3 linked regions of the Bombyx mori genome follow. The protein of the gene in region 2 purifies or fractionates together with the protein of the main gene of each other region. This does not show direct contact. Links are inferred from orthologs where the notes say so. Each region holds a gene or a part of one and is shown on either strand. Other genes may lie near its edges.

What was found.
Region 1: the proteins of syntaxin 5A (region 2) and BET1-like protein purify together in Homo sapiens (affinity purification with mass spectrometry; 3 studies listed by BioGRID and IntAct, with this or other methods). This does not show direct contact. The link is inferred for Bombyx mori from reciprocal best matches to the Homo sapiens genes STX5 and BET1.
Region 3: the proteins of syntaxin 5A (region 2) and vesicle-trafficking protein SEC22b-B purify together in Homo sapiens (co-immunoprecipitation; 4 studies listed by BioGRID and IntAct, counting the BioPlex papers as one, with this or other methods). This does not show direct contact. The link is inferred for Bombyx mori from reciprocal best matches to the Homo sapiens genes STX5 and SEC22B.

The regions. Positions count from the first base shown.
Region 1 is NC_085114.1:8,351,281-8,358,475, reverse strand, and holds BET1-like protein, read right to left. Parts: upstream 4,093-7,195; 5' UTR 3,810-4,092; coding exon 3,471-3,809; 3' UTR 3,378-3,470; downstream 1-3,377. UniProt on the Homo sapiens protein: Required for vesicular transport from the ER to the Golgi complex. Functions as a SNARE involved in the docking process of ER-derived vesicles with the cis-Golgi membrane.
Region 2 is NC_085118.1:10,687,017-10,695,982, reverse strand, and holds the start of syntaxin 5A, read left to right. Parts: upstream 1-4,483; 5' UTR 4,484-5,284; coding exon 5,285-5,309; intron 5,310-6,658; coding exon 6,659-6,810; intron 6,811-6,981; exon of another isoform or gene 6,982-7,193; coding exon of another isoform or gene 7,194-7,199; exon of another isoform or gene 7,200-7,233; intron 7,234-7,420; coding exon 7,421-7,847; intron 7,848-8,495; coding exon 8,496-8,704; intron 8,705-8,966. UniProt on the Homo sapiens protein: Mediates endoplasmic reticulum to Golgi transport.
Region 3 is NC_085121.1:557,364-566,062, reverse strand, and holds vesicle-trafficking protein SEC22b-B, read left to right. Parts: upstream 1-3,022; 5' UTR 3,023-3,202; coding exon 3,203-3,277; intron 3,278-3,446; coding exon 3,447-3,556; intron 3,557-4,605; coding exon 4,606-4,726; intron 4,727-5,483; coding exon 5,484-5,682; intron 5,683-6,302; coding exon 6,303-6,451; 3' UTR 6,452-8,613; downstream 8,614-8,699. UniProt on the Homo sapiens protein: SNARE involved in targeting and fusion of ER-derived transport vesicles with the Golgi complex as well as Golgi-derived retrograde transport vesicles with the ER.

The sequences.
Region 1 (7,195 bases), on a different chromosome or scaffold from region 2:
TCACTGAGGGAAGCTGATGGGGAAGTTCTTTAATGAAGATTTTAAAGACCGTTGGATTTCGATACAGATAATGTAACAAACGCAAAATCTTGATGGAGAGATTTGATATCGTGATGGCAAGATATACTTTTTTACGGCAAGTGAAAGAAATTGAAAATGTGCAAAATTGTGTGTTTTTGTATGAAACATGGCTTAATGCTAACCATACTGTAAGTCGTTTTTGGACCGATATCTATGCAAAATCTACGTCCACAGTTCCTGTTGGGAAAGGATCGCGACTTATAATTTGTCACGCCGGAACCATCAACGGGTTTGTCGGAGGTTCTCTCATGGCGTTTGCGTCAAAAACCACTGGAGACTATCATGAAGAAATGAACGGGGAAAGTGTACTGAATGATTTATTTCAATTTTGTGTAGCCTCCCTGTACCATCTATTATAATAATGGATAACGTCCCATATCACTCGATGTAAATTGACAAGCCACCTGCCCAATCCCAAAAGAAAGCTGACATCATCGCATGGCTTCATAAAAATGGCGCAGATGCAAACGTAGATATGTTAAAAGCGAATTACTTAGTACGTCTTTTAAAAGAAAGCAAACCAACCAAGATACGATACGTCATTGACGAAATAGCGTTAGAACATGGGCACAGAGTTATATGGTTACCACCTAACCATTGTGAATATAATGCAATTGAGTTGGTGTGGGCTCAAATTAAGGGATATGCTGCAAGACGCAATACAAAATCCCTATTGACCCCAACAAAAATGCTAAAAATATTAGACGAAGCTTGTAAGCATGTGACTAAAGGAGACTGGGAAAAGGTTGTGAATAGAACTGTTAAATTAATAAGGGAAGATTATGAATAATATTGTAGAAAACGAACTTCTAATTAATCCAAGTGATGACAATGTAAATAGTAGTAGGAACGAATCTGATTAAATTTAGCCTTTCGTGACACCTAACCATATAAAGTATGTATATTCATTTTAATTCCAATATTCAGATCGTTCAAATATATTAAGTAAGCATTTATATTTTTGTTTTATTAAACCTTTTTAATCAGGTACTACTTGCAATAAAAACTTATAGATTTCATTATATTTTTTTCGGGAATAAATTGTCATTTCACATCACTATTGTAATATGTCAAAACGACCATCATAGCGTGCCGATAGTGTAAGTAGTAATTCTATAATCTGTGCTGTTACACCGGTCACTCACATGCGCACGAATACGCAAACCCGCAAGTGTAGGACGACATTTGCAAATGACTATGCAAAGTTTTCGCTGCATTCGTGGTTTTCCAAGTTGTGTCGGTTTTTTAACAGACATCAAAGCGCGCGAACCTCTAACCTTCGCGTAGTCTCCCACACATTCGCTTGCCCAGTTGCGCCGACAATTGCAAAGGTAACGGACGTATCGCCATTTTCATAGTTCGTGACGTCTACTGTGTAGCGTATCTTCATCAAAAGAAATCCCATAAAAACAGCATGGCTGTTAATGATGTCTGGGAAAGAATTAAAAACTCTTTTTCTCTTCAATGTTCTATTGACGAATTAAAAAGGAGGAGAAATTCGTAAGACATTCGTAAACAAGTGTAGGAGGAAGCGCAAACGGGTTCGCGCGCTTTGATGTCTGTTAAAAAACCGACACAGCTTGGAAAATCACGAATGCAGCGAAAACTTTGCATAATCATTCGCAAATGTCGTCCTACACCTGCGGGTTTGCGTATTCGTGCGCATGTGAGTGACCGGTGTAATACTAACGGCTCAGTGACTTTTTTGGCGGGAACGCGAGGAGTGAAGTTGTGTGATTTGTTTTTATTTTGTCTATTTAGTGTTTCGCCAGCTTTAAATGTGTAATAACGGTGGTTTATTAACTGTTTAATATCTGTGAAAGTGCACAAATGTGGGAAAATGAAACAAAGCCGCTGGACGTAACTTCTCGGGATCCCCCAAAAAGTCCACTGAGACAGTCTTAGTAAATAACCATCATTTTACTGAGATTATATTTCATCCATATCATCTCGTTCGTCTCATCTCATTTCATTTCATTTTATGCCATGTTTAATAATATTAATCAACTTCATTACATTTCACTTCATATTATCATGTGCAGAGTTAATTACTACATTAATCAAATTACTTTCTCAACATCAATTATCTATACCGTACCACGCTGCTAATTTCATTCAAACTTACACTAATATTAATAATGGTTAACACGGACAGTTTCCTTCGTTTTTTATTATTCATAAACTGTAAATAATTAAAACGGCGAATTATAAAAATATTATTATTTGACACTGGCTAATACACAAAACGTGCCAGAACCAAAAAAAAACTAATAAATTAATGTGTGAACTAAATAGAAAGAGATGTGAGATACATAATACATATTACTTAGTGAGAAAAGATGACCTAAGTATTTGAAATAGGCACTAAAATTTATAAATAAACATAAATGAAAATACTTTTTACTTGCTTATTTCTTGTTATTTTTGCCAAATTTTTAGATAGCGCATTTTGATGTTTATATTAGCTACTTCAGAAATTGAATGTATTTGCTATGGAAGGTAACAAAATACAATTCTACTTTGAAGAAACAAGTTTAAACAGAATAAATCTTTTTAAAGAAGCTTTATCCAGTGCAGAAAACGGAAGAGTTCTTTATATTCTCCATGAAGAATTAAGTCAGCTACCCACATTATCACAAGATTTAAATTCAGTGAATAGACATTTCATGAAAATGATTAGTTTTCTTTATGTAGAAACTATTGAAGCACTTATAGACAGTGTTTCAACACTACCAGATTGGCAGAATGTGCCCTCAACAATTATTTTAGATGACTTAAGCAAGTTCTTCAGTAGAAACAACCAACAAAACATTTATGGGATTATTGCTCTGTTGATGGACAGTGTACGGATCTGTTCTGTTTCACTCGGAAAGCCATGTAATTTATTTGTTGCTGTAAGTAAAGAAGTTGTAGGCGATGATTTTTGTAAAATCTTAAAAGAATTATACTTTTGATTGAAGTTTAAAAACTAGTTAGCATAATTATTATAGGGAATACTTACTAATGATCACATATGAGCATCATTTTAAGTATTATACTTATTTGTTGCATAAGTAGGTGAGTGAGTTAAGTGGATACCTAAGCCTATAGATAACAATCAAAACTTAAATACCGCTGACTATCTTTAGAGCTAAGGTTAAAGGCTCAATTGTATTTTATTATGGCTGTCCTTCAAACAACATATGGTTACTTAGTGAAGGAAAAAATTAAATGTTGACACCTACCTGTGCAAGCTAGTACTTATCATTGAAACATATTGTAAAAGTTGTGGAATAAGTGAAATAAAATAAACATTTAATTTATACATATGTTTTATTTACATTTCAACATATACAAAATTTATTTCGAAACACTTATAATACACAGGAGTGATGGATGGGTAATGAAAATCATCTAAATTTTAAAATAATATACAACAAAAAGAACACAAAAATGGAGAAGAGGAATAGATAGAAAATATAATAGTTGTGGTTCCCTTTGCCAAGCCTTAAAACTCTTCCCATGGTTTTTCCAAGGAAACCTGAGCTTCTGTCAACATCATCATCTAATCCACGCAAAAGTTTTTCTTGGTCCCTTACTTCATTGCCTAACTCAATGGAAATGTATTTAAGTGAAGATATCTTGCCACTGAGTTCTTCAGCCATTCGTTCATTTTCATTTTCGATAGTATCTTCCGTAGCTACTCTGGGCACTGGCTGATAGTGGTAGCCTTCGCGGGCTCGCCTCATATTCGTTCGGCCCGCCGTTTTGATTAGCAGCAAGACACAAGAGTGATGATGATAATCAGGTCTTGGTTAATTACGTCCTTCGTTAGACGTTTATTTAATTTTGGATCTACTTGCCGCCTATTTACTATAAAATATTGTTTGTTTTTGTCAATTTGTAATAGGATATGAAAAAAAAACACTAATTTAATAATCTGGACACATTGAAAACATACATGGTTTACAGTAAGTATATAATTTGCTTTTATGTAGTTGTGTTAGATGTGATAGTCTCCTACGTGTTTATCTGACTCAAATGTCAACTGTCAATAGTAGTAGTAGCTCCATTTATCCAACTGAAAAGACGAAGGTCTCCTAATATTATGCATATTTCGTTTTATGACAAATTTAATGGACCGCATTGAAATAATGTTGATTAATTTGAAATTTTAATCATTTGAGATGAAATTAAATGAAACTTGATAATGCGGGTCTCAGTAAATGGTGTTTATTTACTTAAACTTTCTCAGTGAACGTTTTGAAAGAACTCGAGAAGCTACGTCCAGTGGCTTTGTTTTATTTTCCCACAATGTGCACTTACACAGATACTAAACAGTTAATAAAGCACCGCTATTATAAATTAACAAAATAGAACAATTCACACAACTTCGCTCCTCGCGTTCCCGTCAGAGTTCGACGTGCGAACTAGCTCATAGACACAACTCACTGGGTTTCTCACCGGGTCTTTTCAGTGGTTTACAATTCCGATCCGGTGGTAGATTCTGCGAAACACTACTATTGCTAGGGCCAGTGCTAGCAAACTCTCAGATTGAATGACCTCACCTACCAGTCGGTGATTAGCTGGAATAGACCCTTAGGGCTACCAGCGATTAGGTAGAGAAAAAAGTCTTCAACGCTCATCTTTCAGTCTACCAGTCACATAGTAGAACTGAAATCCTACGAGCTGATGAAGGAAAATACTTAGGGCTATCCCGCAATAGGCGAAACACAGAGAATTCTGTGTTACAGTACCGTGACACGTAACTAACGATGAGCACGACCACAAAATTAAGGAACAAGTGGAAGCATATATAAAAACAAAATATTGCAATTCCTAATACTCACGAGACAATCAGCTTCAGAACTAAAAAATAAATAAATAAACCTACTAATATTGATTTTTTTTATTGCTTAGATGGGTGGACGAGCTCACAGCCCACCTGGTCTTGTGGTTACTGGAGTCCATAGACATCTACAACGTAAATGCACCATCCACCTTGGTTTCACTGCAAAAATAGGCAGGGTGGTGGTACCTACCCGTGCGGACTGGACACATACTGCCCAATTTCCCAAATTAATCGTGGGTTTTCACAATTATTATAGATAAATTAAAAAAATTATATTTAGAAAGTAGATTATGCAGATAAATATTTCTTGTTTACATCGCAACGTTGAGGCACTTTGATTTAAAAAATGTCGTGATTCGTACTTTATTTAAATTACAATTTTCAACGTTGATAATAATATCAGAAGGCCCTTTAAAAAAAAAACATGGAAACTGGTTTTTCGAACAGTTTAATTAAGCATTGGCGCACTCATATCGCATGAAAAGTTTTTAATCTGTTCAATCAAGAAAATGTATTTCCGAAAATGCTTTCAAAGTAATTAAACGATAATTCAACCTGCAAACTTTTTCTTATCCCTTTTAAGCCGCCGTTAATTAGCTATTCCCGGGCCCTACAACGTCTTTTTAACATTTTCTTTTGATTTTGCACGCGCATGAACTTCATGCTTTTTCGACTTGGTGCTCGACTTCCCATCTGCCGCTCAGAATTCGTGCGCTTGGAAGTTGGAACGGGTTTACATAATATACCTTCTCTTGTGAACTTTTAATAAGTCGCTGAACGCAGAACGCAAAATAATTAATAATTTAATAAAACATGCTACATACATACTCAATTATTTTATTTTTCAATAATTATTATTGTACAAAGTTTTAACAGTCAGTAACTATCGAAGAATAAAGCTTTCTTATTACTACTTACATAAAAATTTAATGTGCCTCGAGGGGAATGTATTGCACATAGCAGTTGATTTCAGAACATAATATAGAAAAACTGATTGAACAAAAATTATAAATCTACATATACATAAGATTGTTGTTAATATTTTCTACTGAATTAAGTATCTAATTAATTTCAGTTTGTTTTTATTCACGCAGATATAAAATTAAAAAAAAACATTATTCAATGAATGCCTAGCTTTTTGCTGCTAAATAATAGTAGTCATATAATCCTTGAAACAAACTCAAATGATGACAGTAGCATATGAATAATATTATGTGATGAGTAGTCCATCAAGAATATGTATAATTAAATAAGATAGGCGATTAGCATTTAGAATATGTTAGAGAACCATCCCAGCTTCGCTGCAAAGTACTTATTATGTCGTAAACTATCATTCTGAGGGAGAAAAATCAAAACAGTTTGACGATCGACTACCACGTACCTAATCGTTACCACTGCGACTAACGCATCAGCTTTAGAGCCGGTATTCCTAAAACATACTTGGAGGAAGGTAGTTTAGGCAAGAAGACGAACATATTTAAAAAGTCAATCTACCCTCTGTATATGAAAACTAGATAAGTCTGTTTTTAAATTTCACGAGGTGACTTAATTAACGTTTTATCTTCTGTCGCGACAATGTTGTTTCTCGGATAGTGAAAAAACACACGTTTTCCCTTTAAAAATGTTTACGAAACCGAATGCGACTTTTTATAATACCCGAAAATCAACGATTTGAAGCCTCTGTTGAGAACCTCTGCAACGAAATCATAGATCCAAAGATAATGGATTCAGCTATTAAAAAAGTATTAACTGGTGAAACCCAGAATACGCTTCGGTATTCTGGGTTTCACCCACTAATACTACTATACTGGGTACTACCCCAAATAGTATGATAAACATAGATTTTTTGGAATTACTGGAGTGCCATATACTCTCCTATGATAATACGACAGAAACATTTTCTACAGCGCGAACAAAAATTTTACCAATTTTCATCACATTCCGATGAAAGATTTAGAAAGGTATGGAGGACAAACAAAACTCGAGTTCAGAGATACTATAAGCGTTTAAAAGTTTAGGTTATAAGCTAGGTTTGGGTTTTAGTTTGCTAAAAATTTCCTTGAATAGAAAGCATTATAGAATTTTGTCATAAGCAAGGTTTCTCACCTAATATGTCTCGTCTAATATTGATATAGTTTGTTCTGTCTAGTTTGAAATGAAAACGCTTACAACTTCTTTATTTCTGAACAATCTTTTATTTCGATTCCCTTGATTCGCTATTTACGAGGCATTAAAGATATTCAGTCAACTTGCCTATTTCTTATTTAACATATTAAGCTCTAC
Region 2 (8,966 bases):
CGTCCGGTGCATTCGTATCGAGCGATGCACTGGTGTTCGAATCTCGCTGGCGGGTACCAATTTTTCTAATGAAATACGTACTCAACAAATGTTCACGATTGACTTCCACGGTGAAGGAATAACATCGTGCAATAAAAATCAAACCCGCAAAATTATCATTTGCGTAATTACTGGTGGTAGGACCTCTTGTAAGTCCGCACGGGTAGGTACCACCGCCCTGCTTATTTCTGCCGTGAAGCAGTAATGCGTTTCGGTTTGAAGGGTGGGGCAGCCGTTGTGACTATACTGAGACCTTAGAACTATATCTCAAGGTGTGTGGCGCATTTACGTTGTAGATGTCTATGGGCTCCAGTAACCACTTAACACCAGGTGGGCTGTGAGCTCGTCCACACATCTAAGCAATAAAAATAAAAATAAAAGTGTGTGTGTCCGCTCCGACGCACGACTGGAGTTTACTGGATATAAAAAATTAAACGAAACAATACGAGAAATAGTTCTATATTACGACAACACGATACACTACAGATTATTAACAAATTAACGAGACACAAAACAAACGACTAACAAATATATGAAAATACAATAATGAGAGAAACGCGCGATCAGTACGAGGCTTTGTGGCGGACTGCCGGCGCAGCAGCCCGGCGCGCATTTCGTGTGACATGCGCAATCAGGCGCATAACGCATTTCGTGTGACATGCTAGTACGATTTTGGTCCCCATAATTTTCATACCCCGGGCCTATATATGTAAATCGATTCTAAAGGAGTAAACTCCAAAAATGTGTGTGTGTCCGCTCCGACGCACGACTGGAGTTTACTGGATATAAATATAAATTTGTGTCAGTTGAATACAGTAAAATATGGAAGTTACGTATTCTAGTGAGAATGATCCGGGAGTTGCGGAACACGTGGATGCGGTAATTAAGTAAGTCTATATAATTCACTTTTACAATTAATATATAAGTTGTCCATTCACTGATAGAAGGAATTGTTTATATTTAATAAGCTTTATTAATAAATGATTTGTAGCGGGTTATATTCGGGTATCAACCCACTAACAGTTGATACGTTCAGGAATCGAACCCGAACGGCGTCCGGCCACAAGCAAAACGATGTCGGTAAATTAAACGAAACAATACGAGAAATAGTTCTATATTACGACAACACGATACACTACAGATTATTAACAAATTAACGAGACACAAAACAAACGACTAACAAATATATGAAAATACAATAATGAGAGAAACGCGCGATCAGTACGAGGCTTTGTGGCGGACTGCCGGCGCAGCAGCCCGGCGTCACCTGCGATAACGCGGCCGCGCGTTGGCTCCTGATTGGCCAATCAGGAGCCAATCAGGCGCATAACGCATTTCGTGTGACATGCTATACTCTCTAGTACGATTTTGGTCCCCATAATTTTCATACCCCGGGCCTATATATGTAAATCGATTCTTAAGGAGTAAACTCCAAAAATAAAATAATTTATACTTTAATGGGAAGTAAGTAGGTATATTGTTATGTGCAAATATGATATGATTTAGATGTGTGAAATCTAAGACAAGTTCGTCCTTCGAATTTGCCAAGTAAACGATATGATGATTTTTAAAAGTTGCTACACTGATTTTATAAAGTTGTCGTTTGTCGCAAAACATAAAGATATGGCGTAGTACAGTGCCATCTGCCCATTTCTAGCATGCTAAATGTTATCGTATTTTGAGTACGTGTTTTTCTTAGACTATTACAATCTATTTTAATTGTTTTGCTGACCTAAAGTCCGTAACACACTACCGCAGCGCACCTCAAGGAAGGTGCGCCGCACCATTTGAATCACTTTCACGTGAGAGTGATTCAAATTTTAAACTTATCGTAGGACCGCGTGAAAAAAAAAACACCTATAGTCGGATTTTTAATTAGACGAAGCCAGCTGACAGTAGCTAATGTCACTTTGTGAAATAATGTTGCTATATTTAAAGTAATAGTGATGCGTTTAGTTCTCGTTCAATCACATGAATGAACAATGAGTGTGAAGAATTAATCATTAATTTCAAACTATAAAAGAATATTATTTATATTTTACAATAAAATTGTATTAAAGTGCTCCAATATATGTTACTAGTAGTATGTAACTACAATCAGTATTTTGGAGTTTACTCCTTAAGAATCGATTTACATATATAGGCCCGGGGTATGAAAATTATGGGGACCAAAATCGTACTAGAGAGTATAGCATGTCACACGAAATGCGTTATGCGCCTGATTGGCTCCTGATTGGCCAATCAGGAGCCAACGCGCGGCCGCGTTATCGCAGGTGACGCCGGGCTGCTGCGCCGGCAGTCCGCCACAAAGCCTCGTACTGATCGCGCGTTTCTCTCATTATTGTATTTTCATATATTTGTTAGTCGTTTGTTTTGTGTCTCGTTAATTTGTTAATAATCTGTAGTGTATCGTGTTGTCGTAATATAGAACTATTTCTCGTATTGTTTCGTTTAATTTACCGACATCGTTTTGCTTGTGGCCGGACGCCGTTCGGGTTCGATTCCTGAACGTATCAACTGTTAGTGGGTTGATACCCGAATATAACCCGCTACAAATCATTTATTAATAAAGCTTATTAAATATAAACAATTCCTTCTATCAGTGAATGGACAACTTATATATTAATTGTAAAAGTGAATTATATAGACTTACTTAATTACCGCATCCACGTGTTCCGCAACTCCCGGATCATTCTCACTAGAATACGTAACTTCCATATTTTACTGTATTCAACTGACACAAATTTATATTTATATCCAGTAAACTCCAGTCGTGCGTCGGAGCGGACACACACACTTTTTTTTATTTTCGTTACATACCTATAATTGTTATATTTTATACATCTATAATTTCAACTATCTGATGTATTGGAAATAGGACAGTTTTACAAGCTTCCTCGCAATGTTTTTCATAATGTTTAAAACACTCGGTATTCAGTACAGGTAGATACTATAGGAACATAATATTTCGTCGAAAACTCGTTGGTATGTACAAAGCACGCATAAAATACGAACCCCGTACCCGATATCGGCAATTCGGCACACCTACTATTCATTAGACAATCGAGGCAATTTCATTAATTCAGGAGTTTTTTCAATCGTTCACTTTGTCACAACACTATTTTTATTTCATCAAAACCTGACAACACAGTAAACGTCAGTTTACTTCGTCTAATAAAAAATCCCACTATACAGAACATTTATTCATTAATTACAAACGTCATTCCTTGTGACTTCCTCTCTAAAATCACTTAATTATTAAATATTTACCGAATTTACAATAGTGTTTTATTCACTGCGGCATAAAACTATTTTATTTAAATAGTTCCGAAGAGATTTTGTCGGTAGCCTTTTTCCCGAAATATCTAAACAGAATGTCAATAATATGTTTTGATGACATATTTTAAAGAGGTATTTATAATTAGTGTCATGATCAATAGATTCCGACCGAAAAATGATTTTTCGGATGAGGGCTCCGTAATGAATTTAAATATATATAGATAATAGTTTTGGGGCATCGACTTTCTTGAGATCCTATAAAATACGTTTTAATTATTATTTTTGTATGTTTTAAGCATGATAAAATATGAAATTTTATATAAGCAATCATATTAAATCGCAACCCAAAACAGACGGCCGAACTGACGTGACAATGACATTTGGAGCGCTCAACATGGCGGATTTTCGGCCTCATTAGACATTTACGTATATTCATGTTTCATTTTATGTACGCACTGAAATACTGTTATATTATTTTCCTGCGAGTTAAAGTGCTGAGTAAGAACGAGATAGATATATGTTTATGTGTGTGCCTTCAAAATGGGTGCTATTTATATAAGCAATTGTACGTATAGTACAATATGTCGTGTCCCTACTATATAGGTCTATGATAATCTATGATAAAAGTGAACTATAAATGACAGCCCCAAACTAATGAACATTTTCCAAATAAGATATGACCTAAAGGTCTCTGTCACCACGTCATAAAATTAAAAAAAAAAACAAAAATGACAGCGACTTTTTGGCGGGAACGGAGGAGTGAAGTTGTGTGATTTGTTTTATTTTGTCTATTTGGTGTTTCTTCAGGTTTAAATGTGTAATAATGGTGGTTTATTAACTGTTTAGTATCTGTGAAAGTGCACAAATGTGGGAAAATGAAACAAAGCCGCCGGACGTCACTTCTCGGGATCCTCCAAAAAGTCCAACGAAAAAGTCTCAGTAAATGACCACCAATTTACTGAGATTATATTTCATCCCATATCATCTCATTTCATTTCATTTGATTTCATCCCAGTTGATTAATGTCTCAAATTAATCATCTTCATTTCATTTCATAATTTTTCATAAAAATAAGAGTATAAATTAAAATAAGACATGACTTAAAAGTCTTAGCTACCAGGTCATAAAATACCTAAAAAAAGAGAAAAAAAAATGACAGCGACTTTTTGGGGGGAACGTGAGGAGTGAAGTTGTGTGATTTGTTTTATTTTGTCTATTTAGTGTTTCTTCAGGTTTAAATGTGTAATAACGGTGGTTTATTAACTGTTTAATATCTGTGAAAGTGCACAAATGTGGTAAAATGAAACAAAGCCGCTGGACGTAACTTATCGGGATCCTCCAAAAAGTCCACTAAAAAAATTTCAGTAAATAACCACCATTTTACTGAGATTATATTTCATCCCATATCATCTCATCATGAATACTTGTATATTCAATTGTCCTTCGACATGTCCACCACCATTGTCAATACATTGACGGGCAAGTTTCATTAACTCGTTTTTAACGAGAGAAGTGCGCTTCTATGTCTTTTCACTTCGTCAAAAGCGTCCAATATGCGCTGTTTTAATTGTGCGAGCCTAACCGGCTCGCTTCTGTACACACATCTCTTAATTTCACTCCACAAAAGAAGTCCATGGGCGTGAGGTCAGGTGAGCGTGGAGGCCAAGCTACAGGCCCAATGCAGAAAATAATACATTTGCTTCGGTATTGTTCAGTATCCTGATGCAAAATGAAATCCTCGCTACATAATCAACGGTGGTTAATTCCTGAGATTTCCTGTAGTGATATGGATATAATCCGGCCTTATTAACAATCTTCCAGGCACAGGACTGGCTGTTGTTAAACCGTCGAGCAGTGTCATTTGTACTCCGTCGGGGATCCTCTTCAAAATACGCTAGTACATCGTCGTACAGATTTTGTCACAACGCCAGTCTTCCTCGTTCTTGACTATGTGACGGTGCGTGGAATGAACCGTGATCAAGCAAATGCTGGTAAGCATTTACCACGGTTCGCACATTTGGCTGTCGGGCGTTCGGGTACTCTTCCCTGTACATACGTACAGCTGCACTCGCGTTCGGGTATTCTTCCCTGTACATACGTACAGCTGCACTCGCATTTTCTCCACTCAAAAAGTACCCACGAAGCATAGCTACATACTCCCGTGATGTGAACTGATAAGCCATCGCATCAGGGAAAACTTAAACAAACAACTGTTGCAACGAAAAAAAGCATGCGCACACTTCCGCTAACAATTTAGTAGTGTTTAGGTTTTTGTCGTTATTGTTGAGTTGAGTTGACTTGAGTTTCCTGGAATTTATCAATGGAGCAGCGCCCCGTAGATACTAAAACCCTGCCGCACGTACTTTCGGTCATTGATTTAGTTATTTAGCATTTACCAATTATTACGTATTTTTATGGACAGTTCTGAGACTTCGTGTTTTTTTTATTTTTAACTACCATATAATATGATTAGTTAAAGATACTTAGAGCCCAGTTAATTTTTTTGTACTAATTTAAAAATAGTGGTGTATAGTTATAGGACCACGCGCCTGTTATGACAACAAATTTACTGAACATATAATTACGGTAACATTAAGGTTATTATGAGAATTAAATAACTCGCTTTTGGCCCCAAATTTAAAAACGACCCATTGATCATCACACGATATAATCTTTTGATACACACACACATGTTCGTTGGTGTCACTTCTTCGTCATTTAATTTAAATAGTTGGAAGTGAAGAGATCGACCTTCTCTATAGAAACATAAACACATTGTCATTAGTCTGCCAAAAATTGCTAAGACAAACAACTAGGTATACCCACATCAATTCTAACGAAGTGGTACAACAGTTAAATTAATATGCTTTTTGAGATTACATTGAAATGGCTGTTCCAGATGTTTGTATTGTGAAAATTTTGTTGAATATGTTTCAAATGACAGATGAAATTATTATTTTATTTCTATAGAATTTTTACGGCAACAATTTGTTGGCATGAAGAGAAACTAAAATCCATAAAAAGATGAAAATGAAACAGGACTGTAACCCAAAGAGTAAAAAAAGTAGATCTGAGATAAAAAAAAAATTAATTGTATTAATGCCGGCCACTGACATGCGCGCAAATATTCGTACATTGTACGAATGTTTGCGCGCATGTAAAGGGCCGTCAAACATTCATTCGCAAACCTAGCGGCTGTGCAAATGGGTTCGCATACTCAATTTGCGAACCCGTTTGCGCTTCCTCCTACACTTGTTTACGAATGTCTCACGAATTTCTCCTCCTTTTTAATTCGTCAATAGAACATTGAAAAGAAAAAGATTTTTGAATTCTTTCCCAGACATGATTAACAGCCATGCTGTTTTTATGGGATTTCTTTTGATGAAGATACGCTACACAGTAGACGTCACGAACTATGAAAACGGCGTTACCTTCGCAATCGTCGGCGCAACTGGGCAAGCGAATGTGTGGGAGACTACGCGAAGGTTCGAGGTTCGCGCGCTTTGATGTCTGTTAAAAAACCGACACAGCTTGGAAAACCACGAATGCAGCGAAAACTTTGCATAATCATTCGCAAATGTCGTCCTACACTTGCGGGTTTGCGTATTCGTGCGCATGTGAGTGACAGAGTGAGTAATGGACAAACTAAGCCAGAATAGTCTATGACTACCCCTACGTGTTAAGTGTATTATCTATGACTACGTGTCTGGAATCTATCGAGTGATTAAAAATAAAGGATTGTGGGTAGGTACCTACATACCTTATCTAAAAAATGGAATAGTGGGACTTGATAATTTAAAAGATAGATATATCATCGAGTTTTGAAAAGAATCGATGAGATGAAATGATAAATATTGTACACACATGAATGTACTATGAAAGTACGTAATTATTTGAACGCTATTGGTTTTCTAAGTAAGTATTGGAATGTAAAATTGTGAAATACTGCCTCAATTATGTAAATTGTAAGTTTTCATTTTCAAACAAAATATCCCCAATCATTAACAAGTAAAGCATATGTGTGGTGTAACAGTACTGTTTGACTTAATGTAATTTACTTATCAAACAAAGTTGACAACGTTTTTTCTGTAAAACTTTATAGGTGAAGACTGAAGACTACAATGCGATGCTTCCTCGAAGGCGAAATATAGGCGTTACAGAAAGACTCTTGGAAACAGAAACGGATTCATACAATAAATTAGATAAGAAAGGTGTTCATTACGGGGAATCGCGGCCTTACGAGAACTCATCAAATTCCAAATCAACATTGATTCTTAAATCATCTGACCAGGACGTGTTTAAATTTTTAGAAGAATTTGTTTTTGAACCAGTTATGGCTTCAAGAGATAGAACAAGTGAATTCATTTCAACTGTACGCAGTCTCCAAGGACGTTTCTTAAACAAACCAACCGTAAGAGATGATAGAAAAGCTGCTGTGTTGGAAACTTACTCCCAATTCATGAGTATGGCAAAAGTAATTAGTAAGAATATTACTAGTACATATACCAAATTGGAAAAGTTAGCCTTGTGTAAGTATTTTAAATGATTCAGGCATAAGTCCAATATGAAGTGTTATATTCTTTTCATTTATTGCTTTTATAAAATGTTAAATAAACATTTTTTTTTAATAAGATGTAAAAGAAACGCTACATTTGCTATAAACTAGGTACAAAGAAATTGTTCTCTAAAATGAAGTTAGGTCATAGAGGTAATGATACCAATACAAACAAAAATTGCCCTACAAGATTTATATTTTATGTATGTTACTGTATATCAAATCATGAAATTCAAAATTAATATTGTGAAAAAAAATAACAAAATAACTTCTTCAGCTACCTAAATGAATGAAGTAAAATTAATTGAAGTTCAACCAATCATGTGAAATTCAAGTGAAAACATCGAACTGTTGATGGTAATATCAAATAAAAACGTTAATTACTGAGATAAATGTAGTGTATTGAGCGAAACGTCTTTTAAACCAAACAGCCTTTCACTCCTCAATATATATAAAATATAAAAAATGAATATATCAAGAATATGATAACAGTCATTTACCACTAAGTTAATCTTAGTTTACAATTTATGACAAATTAATTAAACAACATCCCTTTGTAATCAGATTATTTTACAGTTCTTATAGGAAAATTTACTTGAAATGTTTAATAATTGTGTTGCAGTGGCTAAGAGGAAATCATTATTTGATGACCGTCCCACAGAAATTCAAGAACTAACTTATATTATTAAAGGAGACTTAAATTCTTTAAATCAACAAATTGCCAGACTAGGTGAAATGCCAAGAGGTCGTCGCAGTATGCACAGTCATTCATCTAGTGTTGTACTCGCATTACAGTCACGCCTTGCTTCAATGAGTAATCAATTTAAACAGGTAATTTGTTCCTACATATAATTGGTTCCTGGATATTTAAAACTTTGTAAAAATGGTTTATGCTCTTCTGAATTAACAATACCAAGTAAACTGATATGCTTTCATAAATATGAAGCTAAATTTATAAGCATATATATAGGAGCACGTTGCTAGAGTTGGCGAGCGATTAAAGAGCTATCCCTCCGGGAGCCGTGCTTTTTGGTCGCTCGCCAAAGCTGCAGAAGGAAACTTTTGCAGGTCTAGTCTCCCACCACTGCGCAAG
Region 3 (8,699 bases), on a different chromosome or scaffold from region 2:
TTAGTTACCGATTTGTATGGATGTTTGAGCAAGCATTTAAAATGATGCTCGGAAAAAGTTTTTAAAAAAAAATTAAAATAATTTTAGTCGAATTGATGTTATTGATAAAAATCAAAGTTTCTAATAAATAATTAATGTACTTAAAAATTTTCAATGTAAATTTTTATGGCACCTCAAAATGAATGATTTTAAAATTGAGCCTAGTCTTAGTATCATAATTTGTTAAAAAGAAAAACGCGGACGCCATATTGGCGCAGTGGCGTCGCAACGCGGGCACATGCGGCCCTTGTGCAATGTACAAATGTACATTCGACGAAAACGCACACCCTCACTAGCCACGTGATGGCGTCGCTAGATAGTTCAAGTATGAAATTTGTGCGTGGAAGCAACGAGAAGGTTAGTGAATTTGGTATTAGGGCGGGGAGGGCGCTGCGGTCGCACGGCAGCACGCGATTAAATGTTTCGAAGTTGCATGCTATTTCGATGTACGTTTATCTAAATGTAATTAATGTCCAAGTGTGTATTTCAATACGTAATTCATTCCGGATGAACGTGTTTGTTGCGTGTCGTTAGTTTAATTTCATTACCTTGAACAATAGACGGCGCTTCCTTCGTTTTTGCTTCAAAATTATTATTTTTTAATTCTGAGAGTTAGAATGTGTAAATGTGAAATTTTGTGTTATATTTGCTTTTAGTTTTTAATGCAATTACAGTCCGATAATTTTTAATTAACTTTAACATAGATTTTGTTAATTTTACAAGATAATGTATTTTCTGCCCCCTAGTTAAGTTATTTTTCTAATGTATAGTTAGTTGTAAGTGTAAATGATTTAGTACGTAATTTGATGCATGATGATAATGTTAATAAAATATCCACAAAAAATATATCTTTATTATTTATTCTCCGTTTCCCTTTATGATTTAAAAACACAATAATCATTTAATGAAGAAATGAAAAATTTGAGCTTACTATAGAAATTATCCTATGAAGTCTAAAATTTAAAAACAAATACCGCGAGATAAATTTAAAAATACGCTTTATTGAGTTGTCGATGATACTTATTTATTTATTTATTATTATCCTATGGCTCATCTATTGGAGTGTTGACCGAGGGTGGCGATACCTACATGCGAGCCGCAACCTACTACAGTGCGCTTAGTGCGAGTTTTTTAACGTTCTCCATAGCGTAAAAGTTAACTCAACATTTGCAGTTGGAACAACACCCCTAGCCGCGAACGTAGGCAAACGTTCCAAATCCATACGAATTTGAGTTATCTTCTACGCTAATAGTTTGTCATTTAGTGTGCAATCTATAACCAAACATCATGGTATTACTTGATTGAGATTAATAATTAAATTTCTTTGCCAAAATTTGGGTATAAATTAATTGAACCTTATGTATTATATTCTCCTATCTGAAAATTATTTAAGACACCAACTTTCTAAGAATCTCCCACTTAACTGTAAACTTAACGCTGGTCATAACACTCCTAATACAGTTGCCAATGTTAATATTGTAGATTACCTATGATTATAAGTAGTGTTAGCCTCTCTATGAGTGTGTGTAATCAATCACGACTAGTACGATCTAGTCCTAATCCATTCAAATACTTCATCAAAATACCCAATCCACATAGCCTTGTTCCGTTCAGTTTCCAGTCCTGTACATGGCATAGTACTTGTACTGTACTTGACTGGCTACTGGCTAATAGACTAATCCACTTCATCGCGTGGGCCTCGGACTTCAGCAAAGCACCCAATGACGACATATGCATGCATTTGTTTTACCAACAGTCTCAAATGCCGCGGCCGCTGCTGCCCGGGAGTCGTTCACCAGAGAAGCAACCAGCATGCTGTCACTGGTACCTTGCTCAGCTAGACTAGCCTTTTATAATAAATACGGAGTTTACTGCGTTATTTATTTGATTAGACCCGTTACCTTCTCGTATCCGAATTTACATGATATTAACACCTATGTAACGGGTAGCTATCAGAGATTTTTTTATGGGATTTTATGACCTGGTAACTAAGACCTTTAAATCATGTCTTATTTTAATTTATATTCTTATTTTTATGAAAAATGATAATATGGAGTGAAATGAAATGAAATGAAGATGATTAATTTGAGACATTAAACTGGGATGAAATTAAATTAAATGAGATGAGATTATATGGTATGAAATATAATCTCAGTAAAATGGTGGTTGGTCATTTACTGAGACTTTTTCAGTGGACTTTTTGGAGGATCCCGAGAAGTTACGTTCAGCGGCTTTGTTTGATTTTCCCACATTTGTGCACATTCACAGATATTAAACAGTCAATAAACCACCGTTATTACATATTTAAACCTGAAGAAACACTAAATAGACAAAATAAAACAAATCACACAACTTCACTCCTCGCTTCCCGCCCAAAAGGCCGCTATCAGAGAATGCGAAGATATTTTACAGAATCCTGAGTCTCGCTAACGACATTTTCAAGATAAGTTTCAATACTTTTATACAAATTCCGGACAACAATATTCGGACTGTTGGTCTACCAAGCAATTCACCCGCTCATTGCAAGATCTTCCCTTTGTCTTATAAACAAAACCTGTTTTAGTAAAAAAGCTTTTCTTCTAGTAATAAAGTGTACTGAAAAAATTTAAGTTCAATTCAATTCTTACTGGTGGTAGGACCTCTTGTGAGTCCGCGCGGGTAAGTACCACCACCCCGCCTACTTCTGCCGTGAAGCAGTAATGCGTTTCGGTTTGAAGGGCGGGGCAGCCGTTGTAACTATACTTGAGACCTTAGAACTTATATCTCAAGGTGAGTGGCGCATTTACGTCGTAGATATCTATGGGCTCCAGTAACCACTTAACACCAGGTGGGCTGTGAGCTCGTCCACCCATCTAAGCAATAAAAAATAAAAGTAATATGTGTACTCTTTTTACCACAAGTAGATAGTTTGATGGATCGAAAAGACAATAATTTCACGTAAAATAGCAAGTCCAAAGTGTGACTTTCTGATTGGTAACACTGCTAGTTGACGTGTTGTTGTCATGTCAGTCCACTTGACGTGTAAGCACAGCTGTCGTGGTATTGAGAACCTATTGAGTTTTCTTCATGTTTTCAAAACTATGAGAAGGAAAAAACCTTAAATTAAAGTTGAACTCAATTACATAAATTTTATGTTTAAGTGAGAGACATTTTAACTTTAAATATGGTGTTAATGACTATGATTGCAAGAGTCGCCGACGGGCTGCCTTTGGCTGCCACTATGCAAGAGGATGAGCAGGTATTTAGAATGCTCTATAATCATTTTCTATGATAACATATTTCGTCATATATACATTTCTTTCGTATCTTTTTGTTTCATGTATTAGTATTTTTATTTTTAAATTGCAATTTTGTTTATTATTTTTGTTTGTTGTAATTATAATTTAATTTGCTGTAATGATTTGCAGAGCGGGTGCAATATACTCGAGTACCAGAATCAGGCTAAAATGCTGTTTAGGAAATTAAGCCCTCAGTCCCCGATGAGATGTTCCATTGAAACCGGCCCGTATCTCTTCCAGTGAGTCACAGTTCATTTATGTCAATTAAACCTATATCATTTTAAACAAAAATAGTCCAACAAAAAATCTATATGCAAAACGTTTTTGAAAGTAATATGTACACAGTAGCTTCTTACCTAATTCACCATTTAAATGTTTAGCCAGACATAACTTTCTGACATAGGACATTGTGCACCTGTAATATATTATTACATATGCTACTACTATACTTATTTGCAACATACAATATGATACAATATGACTATTGTGAAAATCAATTTATATTGTATAACAACCCAGAGATGTTACAGCTTATGGGCATTTTAATATCAACAATTATATCAATATGGTACAAGTTTTAAAATCGGACTGTAAAGTACAATTTTATATTATTTGTCTATTCTTTTACTCGTTTTTTAGCACAAAACCCCTAAAATTTATAATGCTTTTTAAGTATTGGCTTTGTAGAATGATTTTTAAGTATGGTTTTGTTTTTTTATTTGAGTTTTTGCTAGGTTTTATTATGTGAGCTGCAAAACTAACTATGTTATATACTTGGAAGCTGCTATGTCTTTATTGTGAGACTGGTGCGATAGTACTGAGCCATATGTTCAATTAAATATTGTTATGTACAACACATGTTCTACTAAAATTCAAAATGCAATGGAATTAACTCTGAATGTAAACATGTTATTATGCATTTAGTTTTATCATGTACTGGTTGGGTGATCAGGCTCACAAGCCACCTAGTGTTAAGTGACTAAGTAACCTTACAATATCACAAACTGCCATATGTGCTTGTTCGCATACACTTTTAGGCATGTTATTCGTGGTGGGGTCAACATCACATTGACTGCTGGGTGTTTGCCTGATTTTTCCTTATAATATTAGTAATAGATTCACATGAGGACATGCACAATTAATATTGTTGTGAGCCACCAGTATACCGAGCAGCTTATGAAAATAAACAGTGGCGCCTTAAGGAACATTTTACATAATTCTAATCTATTGATAATAATGCCTGTTTTTGTGAAATAATGGTTTTAAGAAATAAAATTTCTCTTTTCAGTTATTTGATTGAAAATCACATATGTTATTTGGTCCTGTGTGAAAGAAACTACAGTAAACGACTAGCATTCAATTATCTCGAGGAAATAGCACAGGAATTCTTCCAACAGTACGGACACAGGGTCTGTTTTTAATTTATTAAAATTACAAAATTTTCTTTCAGTTTCAATCTGAGGAACAGATTTTTTAATTGGGTGTTATTTGTAGTCTATCTAGTTTTTTTTTTCCTACCTTATCTGATAGTCTTGAGAGGCTATATCAGCGTCGCCTTAACTAGTAGGTGAGCTCGTGGGGCTCAAGCCTGATGACGTTACTAACACGAACCCTAGCAAGAGCCGTGCTTCGCAGAATCTAAAACCAGATCGGAAAACCGACCCACTGAGAAGCTGCTTAGTGTTAATCAATCACTGGCAGCATGTAGATACCAGAACAAGAATAACAGCACCTGCTGACTCCACCTACTCTGGAATAAAAATATCTCAATATTCAAATTGGAATGCATCATTATTTGAGTTACAGTTTTAGTTTCATTATACAAACAATCAGAATAGGTCTACCATCCCAGTATTAAGAACTAAACATCTGAGATAAAAAAAAATACATAAGTTAATCGTGAACATTTGCTAAGTACGTATATCATTATTGAAATTAGAAAAATTGGTACCCGCCTGCGGGATTCGATCACCGGTGCATCGCTACATACAAATGCACGGGCGTCTTATCCTTTGGGCCACGACGACTTAAAGTGACTTTAAGTACATTTCAAGTTAATCAACCGAATTCTTAAAGACCGAACCGAAAGGAAGACTCGACTTCTGCATTGTGTGTTCAATGATATTTAAACTACAGCGTTATTTATAGAAATGAGTTTGTCCACAGTTGAACACCGTGACTCGTCCGTACACGTTCATAGAGTTCGACACGTGCATGCAGCGCACGCGGAAGCAGTACGCGGAGGGCGGCGCGCGCGCCCGCCGGGCCGGCGCCGCCTCGCACCTGGCGCCGCAGCTGGGCGACGTGCAGCGCATCATGATGCAGAACATCGACGACGTGCTGCAGAGGGGAGCTATACTGTCCGGTAAATGCCTTCATCTTCTCCATTTTTGTATTGATAAATCACCTCCATCCCTAATTTTATCTAATTTTTACACGGGTATAATATTGTTATAATGTACCGGTCTTGCAATTGGCACCACATCACTTGAAAACCTGTCTTTTTATTTTTTTATTGCTTAGTTGGGTGGATGAGCTCACGGCCCACCTGATGTTGACCTTGAGATATGAGTTCTAAGGTCTCAGTATAGTTACAACGGCTGCCCCACCCTTCAAACCGAAACGCATTACTGCTTCACGGCAGAAATAGGCAGGATGGTGGTACCTACCCGTGCAGACTCACAAAAGTCCCACAACCAGTAATTAAGCAAATTACAATTTTGCGGTCTTAATATGTTATTTAGTCAACCTCCCTTACGTTTAAGTTATAATAGTTGTCAATGTTCTACCATATCTTTAACCACTGCGAGTAGTATATCTGTCTGGAACCACTGCATTCACCCACAGTGTGTTTTCAGAGGTCAAACTTTAGTTATGTACCATCCGGCTCCGACATAGACTCTATCAGCATAGGTGGGAGAAAAAAATTTTTTTTCGTGAATTTCCAGAATATGGTTATTCAATTTTACGTGATTTAACTTTCAGAACTGGACACGAAGACGCAAAACCTATCGATGATGTCGCAGAAGTACCGGAAGGACGCCACGTATCTCAACACGAAGTCGATGCTGGTGAAGGTGACCGCCGGAGCCGTTATCGTGCTCGTGATTGTGCTTTACTTCTGGGTTCTCTAGATGATTCCATGATAGTTACGGTTTGTCTCGGGGAAATGAGCGCGACTTATAATTAACACAACAACAAATACATATCGTCGCTGTCAAACCAAAATCAGCTATGTGCAAAAACTCTATTTTGAATTAACGAGTAAAAACATTTTCGTATAAAATTTTATATGAAAGTGGATTTTTAAGAACTATATTAAATGAAAGCTACAGATAAATATTAAAGCTATAGACAAATAACAGTTTTTTTATACTTTGGATAAGGCTGTGAACTATACAAAAAGGTCAAAACGTAAAAATCTCAAAAAGTGCCCATAGTAGATTTTGGTTTGACAGCGACGACATATTATTCAAAACGAAAACAATGATGGTGAATTATAATTATAGCAAAACATTACTATTTAATTGTTCTTATTTATTATTAATCACGTATGAGCAGATTGATGTTGCAGGAGTGGTAGGCGTCCACCGCCTACCGCCATGTACGGTCTGAATGAGGTTGTTGACCCCCATATTTTGTACGCGCGTTCATTGCGTGTTTCCAAAATCTATTATTCCAACATGTTTATTATTTTTCGCCTCGCTTAATATGAGTCAGTATAATGATAATTTGAATTTTTATTGCCCCGGTAATTAGAATTTCTACTTTGGAAACGCCCTTAAATGATCGATGCCCGCACTACCTGTCACATTGATAATACCTACACTGCTAACAGACTTAACTGTCAGCGCTTAGAATCCATAGACAACAAAAAATTTTTTTTTGAGTCCTTTTGACTATTCAATTATTTTTTTGACCGATTTTTATAATTATTTGAGAACTATTATGATCTTAAATCTATTCTACGGTTTAAACCAAAATATGTCTCTCCGGCCCATAATTATAGAATTCAAAAACCCAGAGCCATGTTTATTTCACATTCGTGTGAAAGCGTCATATGGGACTCAGTGTTTAAATTACTCATTCCAGTAACTCAATTCTTCCTCAACGTATTTGAATTTGTGAATAATATATAAATTAAAAATATATGTCAAAAGCAATAAATAAGAAATGTATGTATAATGTTGTTTTTTTAATCCTTTGCTATCTATAGTTCACGCCAATTTCAAGAGACCAGTTGCTAAAATCGTATGTAACATGTGAAATAAAATCAATGCAAAATTATTTAAAAAGTAAATCTGTTAAAAAAAATATATGTATAAAATACACATATTATATTAAACAAGTTGACATATTTTTCAAAAGAGAACACGCTTTTGGTGTTTCAAAACAGAAATAAATTCAATGCGAGCAGTACCATTTGATAAGGGTTTTGATGGCACCAATTCATTAAAATTCATTAGTTGTTACATTAAAAAGAGTTGATCATAGAAAGATCATATTGATGGGTAAAGGGCTATTTGGTTTAAGCGACATTTCGCTTGACACGCGACATCTATCTTTTTAATTAAAGGTCCGTTTTATTTGGTATTAGTATCATGACTTCAATATTTTAAATTGAATTTCAATTAAGTTTACCCCATTCAAATAACTGAATGTTTATTTAGTTAGGATATATAATTATTTTATTAACTTTCATAAACGATAAATGTCCTTATACAATTCCTCTAAGCTCATTTGAGGTTTTCTAACTATTCAACTGTGTTCAGAAAATTGGTACAGAGAAACATTGTATATTTATTTGTATTTATACATTCCAGGTCATTTTTTTGTTCACTAATTCAAAATTGTTTAACATTTTAAATGGTCTATAAATAATTATCAGGGACACAAGATAATTTTATTCCAAACAAAAATACTCAGGCCCAGGTACCACCACGATGAACATTGCTTTATACTTTCAAGCTATTCAGAATAAAACACATGCGAACTTGCCTTAAATTAAGAAAACTCAATGAAGAACAACTGACATCAAGAATCTTAAAACTAATAACAGATAGATTTGGCATTATTAGTGTTGTATTTCAGTATGTAAATAAAGTAATATTAGAGTTATTATAATAATTTTATTATGTATTATTGGTCAGGTCATTCATAAAGTAGGTAATCAGGCACATCTTATTATTGTTTCTCACATATTAATTGTGTATGTTGGTGATGGAATGTTGAGTTTGATCACAATTTTTACTGTTGTATTTGATTTAAGGTTTAATAAACATGCATCCCTTTTAAATTTTGTTTTGTTTTTAAATACATAATTGCTACTAATGCTGTGTAAAATTACAATCCAACATATTTATTATATTTCATATATCATAT